Linked DNA regions of Daphnia pulex. The protein of the gene in region 2 binds, or shares a complex with, the protein of the main gene of each other region. Links are inferred from orthologs where the notes say so. Each region holds a gene or a part of one and is shown on either strand. Other genes may lie near its edges.

The links.
Region 1: trithorax group protein osa-like (region 2) and ATP-dependent helicase brm-like share a complex: the UniProt entries of both Drosophila melanogaster proteins name them as parts of the brahma complex. The link is inferred for Daphnia pulex from reciprocal best matches to the Drosophila melanogaster genes osa and brm.

The regions. Positions count from the first base shown.
Region 1 is NC_060018.1:7,737,307-7,741,475, forward strand, and holds the start of ATP-dependent helicase brm-like, read right to left. Parts: upstream 2,801-4,169; 5' UTR 2,645-2,800; intron 2,322-2,644; 5' UTR 2,312-2,321; coding exon 1,644-2,311; intron 1,580-1,643; coding exon 1,039-1,579; intron 974-1,038; coding exon 713-973; intron 650-712; coding exon 272-649; intron 209-271; coding exon 1-208. Other genes in the region: uncharacterized protein LOC124205796, read left to right, coding at 3,156-3,286, 3,347-3,519, 3,587-3,820, 3,904-4,169. UniProt on the Drosophila melanogaster protein: Transcriptional regulator. Acts as a coactivator, assisting one or more dedicated transcriptional activators of ANTC and BXC homeotic gene clusters. Can counteract the repressive effect of Polycomb protein.
Region 2 is NC_060023.1:7,307,387-7,311,653, forward strand, and holds the start of trithorax group protein osa-like, read right to left. Parts: upstream 2,801-4,267; 5' UTR 2,184-2,800; intron 2,074-2,183; 5' UTR 1,989-2,073; coding exon 1,272-1,988; intron 351-1,271; coding exon 243-350; intron 1-242. UniProt on the Drosophila melanogaster protein: Trithorax group (trxG) protein required for embryonic segmentation, development of the notum and wing margin, and photoreceptor differentiation. Required for the activation of genes such as Antp, Ubx and Eve.

The sequences.
Region 1 (4,169 bases), on a different chromosome or scaffold from region 2:
AATTGGCAATGTATTCGTCCGTTTGTTGAAGAAGGAATGCAAGACGTTTGTCTTTTTTCTGATCGATAAGCTTACGGTAACCTTCTTCATCTTCCGCCATCAAGCGACGCATACGCTCTTTTTCAATACGCTCCTGTTCCTTCTTCTGTTCACGTTCTGCATTAGCATGATGTAGTAGGACAGCTTTGTTGATGCGCACAATTTTCGCCTAAAAAGTTAAAATTTTAAAATAAGCTTTCTTATCACCAAAGTATCTGGTATAATTATTTACCAGGTTGTTACGATGAAACTCTTTAAGATCTTTGCCGTGTTGAAGGACCGCAGTAAGATATTCTTGGTGCTTCTGACGGCGTCGGCGCTCAGCTTCCATTTTCTGTTGTTTCTCAAGCTTCTCAGTTGCTCGAGCTTCTCGTAGTCCTTGTTTCTTTGTCCGCTTATAAGCTTTAACGTTGACAGCTGTTTCTAACGTGGTGTCTCTTCTCGTACAAGCTAACACTTCTGAACGCAACTGCCGTTGGAAATTAAGTAATCGCAGAGCACGTAATTCAATTTGCGCCTTAATTCGCAAATCCTCTCCCATTGTAGTAGGTAGATTACTAAGTTCTTCAATACGGTAGGCAACGCGCGTAGCCATGCGATTTTCTCTTTCCTGTTAAAATAAATAAATATATATAATGTTAAGGTTATATTACTTCGAATAGATTACACATACCTGCAAAATTACAACTGGATCTAATCCTGCTGGTTTGGCAATTGGGGTAACTTTGTTTTGTTTAGACACAAGTGTTTGTTGCTGCAGTTGCTGTGGTTGTATCTGCTGTGAATGTGGCATCACGGGTTGTTGTTGCATGAGTGAGGCATTAGAAGTGGGCACAGCTGGTGGTGCTATGATGGGCTGCAATGCAGCATTACCCATTTGAATTGCAGTAGGGGCAGTAGCCCCTTGGGATGGTTGCATCGGATGTACAGGGACCTACAATTTAAGTACAAGTAGCATTTATAACCATTCTAAAACAAATGACATTTTAGAAAATCTACCTGTGGCTGAGGGGGACGAGGAGTCGGTATGGTACCAGGAACTGGACTTGCAGTAGTTCCCGGAGTTGGAGTTCCTGCCGATGGTGGTGGCCCCATAGAAGGTAGCTGAGACTGCTGTCCGCTCGGTGATGGTGCCACAGGTTGCTGAGAAGAGTATGGAGGCCCAATAGGCCGTACGCTAGAAGGTTGCATCGGAGTAGGAGCCGAAGGAGCTGTAGGTCTCTGGAAAGACTGTCCAGGCTGAGACGGAGACGGAACATATATTTGCTGTTGTTGTTGATCCAGCTGTGATACAGTATTAGGCTGCGACTGAAGTGTCGGAAGGTCCGTCCGTTTCCCTTGGGCAGCCATTCCAATATTTGTTGGCACAGGTTGGTTTCGAGCCAACAACCGGTAAGCCATAATTTGCGCTCGTAGCTGGTGGACTTGTGTAGGTGATAGGAATGACGATTTCATAGAATTGGCCCCTTCCGGTCCAGAAGAATTGCCATTAAGGGTCGCTGGATTGGGCGGCCCATACTGCGATGGCACACCAGGTTGTCTAAATATTGGTAATGGATCAGTTACACATTGTTCAGATATATTTTGATCGCAATTCAAGTTACCTGTTAGGATCCATAAGTGGTGGACCAGGACTGTGGCTAGTAGGAGCCATTCCCTCTTGTTTTCCTCTCATGGCAAGAAGAGTAGCATAGCGAGGATCATTCTGCAAGCCGCGGTCTTCCATTGTAGATATAGCTCTTTGCAAAGCATTGATACTGTCAGGTGGATAAGGTGGTGCTCCTGGTTGCTGTTGGGATTGTTGAGGCATTGGTCCACCAGGCTGTGATGGATAATTTGGTTGCTGTGGAGGTTGGTGGTGTGAACCTGGAGGATAGCCACCACTTGCTCCCATATAATGAGGCTGTGGAACTCCACCATGATGCTGCCTTATTGGTTGCTGCATAGGTTGATGAGGAGGCCCCATCGAAACTGCTCCTGACATGGGTGGTGGATAAGTTTGCTGCTGAGGTTGTTGTTGAAACTGGGGAGGGTGTTGCTGCATTGGTGGACCCATGGGTGATGGAGATGGTTGAGGATGGTTCATTGGAGAAGGTGGTTGCGGAGGTGCCATAGGAGAAGCAACTTGCTGTTGTTGATTTCCAGCATTTGAATTTGGATGTGAATGTGGTGCTGGAGATGCAGCAGGATGAGACAAAGGTGATGGCTGAGGTGTTCCAGGCCCTGGCCCAGGTGAAGTCATCATCGAAGAAGGTGGTTCTCCAGATGACATATTTCACAGCCTAAGACACAAAGTAAACAACGGAAAAAATTTTACTAACACAAAATTCAACACAAAAAAGATTTCACATGCACTAATAATATAGAAGAGATAAACATCTACTGAATTTATAAACTTTCATTTACTTCCAAGAGTTTACTTAAAATATGTTGAAGCATCAAATAAAAATGAAAAAAATGTTTGCAAGGGGATGAAAGGAATTGTTCTTTAGATTCATTGCCGGTGAAGTTCGTGACAAGTAATTTTACGAATATATCTTCAGATAATGAAAGTTTAAAAATATAAAGTGTATAATCAATTACACCATTATGGTTGTTAACTCACGTTTCAATAATTGCTTTGCCCTTTATTAGTTTATGTTTGGGAATTCCCTTTCAGAACGAATAATATAGAAAATTATGGCGTTGCGTTGCTTGGCGTTGCTTGGTTCGCCCTCCGTGGGGGTGTGGTGAACTATGTAGTACGAACCTTGAAGATTTTTCTGGAAACAGTTGCCACATGGGATGACAAGCCACAATAAATTTAACGTTTATTTAAATATAATTTCTTATTTTTAGTGAAATCCGTCTTCTCAATAAATTTACCTAAAATTAGATTCCAAAAAATTCATTTACAGACAAGCCAAACGTTAGTGGCATTGGTGTACTCGTGTCATTTGTTTGCATTCTAGCAGACGAAAATCATTATTTTCAATTTCTCACGACTCACGTGTTAAGACGTTCAGTTCAACAAATTTTCCGGAAAGATTGATGATAATAAAACGTTATATTATAATTAACAACGAACTGAAGTACAGTACTTAAAACCGCAGCTTAGTAGCGTGATACAATCGACAATGTCGTTTATATCTGAAAAGCCATTGAATAAAAAAATTATCTTCGACGAACATGTTGAAGAAAGTGATACCATGGTTGATTTGTCTCTTAGCAATGAACAGCAGTCAGAGTCAGCAAAACCCCTGCTCAGGTATGAAAAATAAGCATTGCCATTCATATTATTGTTTTTAAAAATTTTCATATTTTTTAGAAACAAAGCATTCATCCAATTTGATTCAAATCTCTCGAGCCATGATAATAAGTTTCAGAAAGTAACAAAGAGCAACACAGATAAGCCATTTAAAAAAGGCAAGATGGATTTTGAGCAACAGTCTCTACCAGAAGTATCTTCTGAACGTTATTACCAGACAACAGAAGCTCTAGGTATATGAAATGTATTTATGATTTATTGGTATAATGCATATGTTTACACTAATTCATTGTAATCTAGATATTGGCAAAGGTAGTGAGTTCTCTCTACGAACCCTCTTTCAGGAGAGCAATCTTGCAGTAGAACCAGAAGAAGAACCAATTAGTTTGCCACCAAAACTATTTGCCCAGAAAGACCCTAAACTTTTGTTTAAGCCAGAAACAGTGAGCAATGTTGAGCATCAAGGCTATTGGAAAAATGCCGGTATGTGGACGGAACCACTTTTTTTCCACGCTGGAGACAACCGTTTAAAAGGTTTTTATAAATTTAAAACTTATTGTTAGATTTGACAACTATTGTGAACTCAATAATAGTGCATACATTTTGTCTGTTCATAGAGGTTACAGATTTTATCTACCAGCCAGCAAAGGAAGAAGCGTACCGTGACCGAAATAAGTGGTTTGAGCAGCGAGAAAAACTCAAACAATATTATCGTAACAAGATGCGACGTAATGCAATGTGGGTAGCAGGAACTGCACAACAGTCGCAGAAAAAGCGACCACTTGCAGATGGGACAGACGAGTCTTCATTCCAATATTTTGGTCAGCAAGAGGAAATCGAACGTCAACAGAAAAAGAAACCCCACAGAACTTTTTTCAAATAA
Region 2 (4,267 bases):
CAAGTGGACGGGAAGACCCTATTGTGCGAACCGTCTTTCTTTTCTTTTGCCAAGTAAAAACAAACTTGTGATCGAACCATATGAGAATAGTTCTGACAAAATCTGGGCTGGCGATCGTCCAATGGACAGAAAAGTAGGCAAGACATCAATGGGAAAGGCTAAATAAAGGTAGCATTGTGCGTTTCCTCTCGTTTTTTTTTTTTTTCGTATTATGTGTTTGTTGGCCGTACCCATCTTCTTACCTGCTGGACTGGTCCTCCTCCACTTGGCGTCACGGCGTATCGTTGCTGCTGGATTCCGTGTCCTATGGGAGCACCAGGTCCGTACGAGGGATATCCTCCGCCTCCACCCTGAACGCACAAGAAAAGGAAAGGAAAAAACGTAATCAGTCGAAATGAATCCATCAACCAACGGTGTGTGAGTGTGCCGCCACCCAGGGTGAGGGCCAGATTCGAAAGGGATAGTTTATGCTAATAGTGACGTCACTATCTCCGTGGGGGGTTGCGTTTCAACGGGACACAGAGAGGGTATTCCTCCTGCTTCCTTGCTCTTAAAGGACGATCATCACTTTATTTCTTAATCACATTTCATATTCACACAGCAAGGAAAAAGAAGTAGCCATTCCCCCAGAGTCACAAATAGCTCCTTTCCTCCTTCTCCTCCTCCATCACCAATAAAAAAGGGCTCAAAAAGATGAGAGGAGAGAAAGAAAAAAAGAAAAGACAGGGGGTAGCACGAGAGAAAGATGCCTGTCAATGACGTCACCCCTCCCCCCTTCTCTATCCGTCACTAATAACGGGTCAGTAAACACGGCCACGTGGCTCTTTTGCTCCACACTCAAATACACATATTCCACCAAGTTTTGGAAACAAAATGTTCAATCACTCATTCACTCGGCCATCTTTCACTCAGACATCTAGTTCCGACCTCCAACCCATCTATGTAAATGATTCAAGCTGGGGGTGATGGAGCTCTTCTCATGAATGCCTCTACTTAAATCATTCAATTCATTAATGTGCTCCGTAATTAGATCAAGAACAAGAGGTGGGTGTAGACGTCGGACCACTAACGGAATGATCCGTTCGTTACCGACTTAGCCAACTTTCTATATAAACGAGATGATTCATTATTTTGGTCTCTTAATAGCCGTGCAATCAAAAGAATACTTAAAGGATCGATGGGCTATATGACGCAACGTGCACAGCATTCTTCCAATAAAGAAAGTTTTTTCTAAGGAAATTCGGTTTGACCTTCACGTTGTCATCCTGTACCTGCTGCATCGAATTTGGTGGAGGCTTGAATCCAGGAGCAAAATTCCTGGGCTGCTGCTGCTGCATAGGCCAGCCAGCAGCTGGATGCGAATTTGGTGGTGGTGGTGGCTGCTGTTGAGGATAGTCTCCATAAGAATATCGTTGCACTGGCCCTCCTGATCCAGGCTGAAGAAGTTGGTTTAATGTTGGTGTTGAATATCTTGAGGGTGGATAACCCTGTCCACCAGCAGCACCACTACCATGATGAACTGGAGGATAACTCGGCACAGGACCAACACCAGGCCTGGGCATGGAATTCATATAAGCCACTGGTTTTGTGGCTAGCACAGGACTGGACACATTTCGAACCAGGTTGCTGCCTGGATACTGAGGGTACGGGTAGCTGCCCTGCTGCTGCAAATCACCCTGCTGCTGTTGTTGATGAATGTAGCTGTGAGGTGGATATCCAAATCCAGATTGGGCATTTTCATAGCCAGCAGCGGGGGAGTCCACAGGATATCCTACAGGAGGTTTGTAGTAACCCCCGCCTGATTGCAATTTGCTACTTTCGTTCATGTCATGAGAGCCATTGTTGCTGACAGGGGTGGAAGTTGGCCCGTTGGAACTGTTTGTCTCCATCTCCCTCTGAGCATCCACCCCGTTGGTGTTGGGTCCATCCAGATCCTTCATCTCGGGCCCATTTCTGGGAGCTTCCACTTCAGCTTGGGTGCTGGCCATGGTCTTCTGCTTGTTACGATCAACTCACAACTGGTTCAGTTCCATCTTGAGAGAGGTGAGTTTCAGTTGAGGAACACGATAGAACCTGAAAGCGTAAAAAAAGGAATGATGTAAGCCTGTGATCGGTACAAGAAATTCTAGAAAGATCCAGAGATGCTCAGCAATCTAGGATTGGCATCCATTTTTCAGACTTACGCTCGAGTCGAGAGAACTTTTCGAGCAAGAAGAGTTTCAGCTAAAGCACACTTGGCCTCTTATTCCCACGCTGAACGCGTCGCTCCAAGTCGGGCACAAACTCACAATGGATAACACTGTGTAGAACACATACACATTCACACTTAACACAAGACACACACACCAACACGCACTTGCTCACATATGCACACACGGTTTTTTACTTTTTGAAATCTTCTTGTTCGTCTTCTTCTTCTCCTCCTTTTGGGTCTTGTGTGTGTGTGTGGTGGTGGTGGTGAGGAGAGTTCACGAACAGAGAGAGAGCCGGAACGCGCGCGACGACGCTTGGGGAAAAAGCTTTTTCTTTCCAACAACTGACGTAAGCGAGTCAGCCCGCAAGGTGGTGTGCCCCACCGACCAGCAGAGTGTCAAAATTGCAAGAGGCGCGATTCAAACTTTACAGACAACACACTCAATCGACGTAATTTGGGCTGGTGACTTGCCTCTACGGCAATGCATCTTTTTCTCTTGCCGCAGAAATTGTCGTTTCAGTTTCAGTACTTCTTGGTGTCTGAATGCGATGCCAGCGCCACCATTGCCTCTTCTCTCCCACCAAGTTTTGGTTCCAGCAAAAAAACGAAAAAACGCTTCTTAAATTCTCTCCTCAAACCATAAAACCAACTACTTGCCTTTCATTCTATTGGTATTCTCTTCAATTAATTCTTACATTAAGATTGAATCCACTAAAAACTGCGTAAAGACTGAAAATGTAAAAAAAGCCGAGGAACTATTTTGACGAGGTATGCACGGCGGATGGATACATCTGGGCTTCGTTCTCTCTCTCTTTTAGAAAAGACCCGCGCCATTATGATGGCGCTATTGGCCGACGGGCGGACTCTCGGTCCCTTTTTCTTAACGGGCCAAAGAAAATTTCAACTACTTCCACTCGAGGCTCTCTCACGCAATTACGTGAATAACATCAAAGAAATATGAATTTTTTTCTACATCCATATTTAGTTTTTAACATATTCCCAAGTTAAGAGATTCCAAACGATTAGATGCATAATTTTGAATCCATCTGGCATTTTCGCCGTTGCTTCATACGTATACGTACCAACCAACCAAAAGACGGGCGTAGACAATTTCGAAAACAGGAACTGGCTAGCCCCTGTCAAACAACACCTGGCGGGCATTGCAAATTCATTTCGTCGTCTCTATACTACACTCGCTGCTGCTGCTGCTGCTCTACCTGTTGGTCTTGATTACGCTTTTCCCGACTAAAAAATAAAATATTTTCTTCTCTCTACTTATATTGACTTCTTGATGGACTATACTTCTATAAGCGATCACTTACAACATCCAGTCTCATTAAACAAATTTCTAGCTCTCTCTCGTGGCGAACGAAATGAAACTTGCATTCTAACTTCGTTAAGCCATCAATCTCAACCCAACAAAAACGTAACAAACAAAAACAGGTTCTCCCAACAACAAAGTGATTATTTCGCTGTCTAGCTGCAGCCCCCCTACCTATTTACTGCGACGCACCTGAAGCAATGCGTCAGTTGGCAAAACCACTTAGAAAAGAAGAAAAAAAAAATTTGTATTTATTGAGAAACTCTTTTTGGTAAATCAACCTTTATATGATACAGCACGGCAATTCTGACCGCTGAGGAAGTATACCGGTGAGTATGAGGCCGACACACAAAGGGAAGAGAGGGGAATTCCGTGAAAAAATAAAAAAAAGGGTTGCTCATTCAAAAGCGTGAGCAACACGGCAAATAAAATAATCAATCCGCAGCGTCCCATCATGTGGGTCAAGGTCACCACACACGAAAACAGCTAAAAAAAGAGACCATTCAAACAAAGATAGACATTAAGGGAGGGGAAAAGAGCCAATAAAAAAATTCAAAAAAGGATTTGCTTAAGATAGAAAACAAATAAAGACGTAGGAAGTGATGAATGAATGAAGCAAAACAAAAGGTGTCCCCAGTAAAAACCGGGAAAAAGAAAAAACGTATTCAATGAACCACTTTTGCCAATTGCACATGTGCCAATTGTCACTTGTGTATTCGTCAGGCGCTTGCGTTATGCATTTTTACATAAAT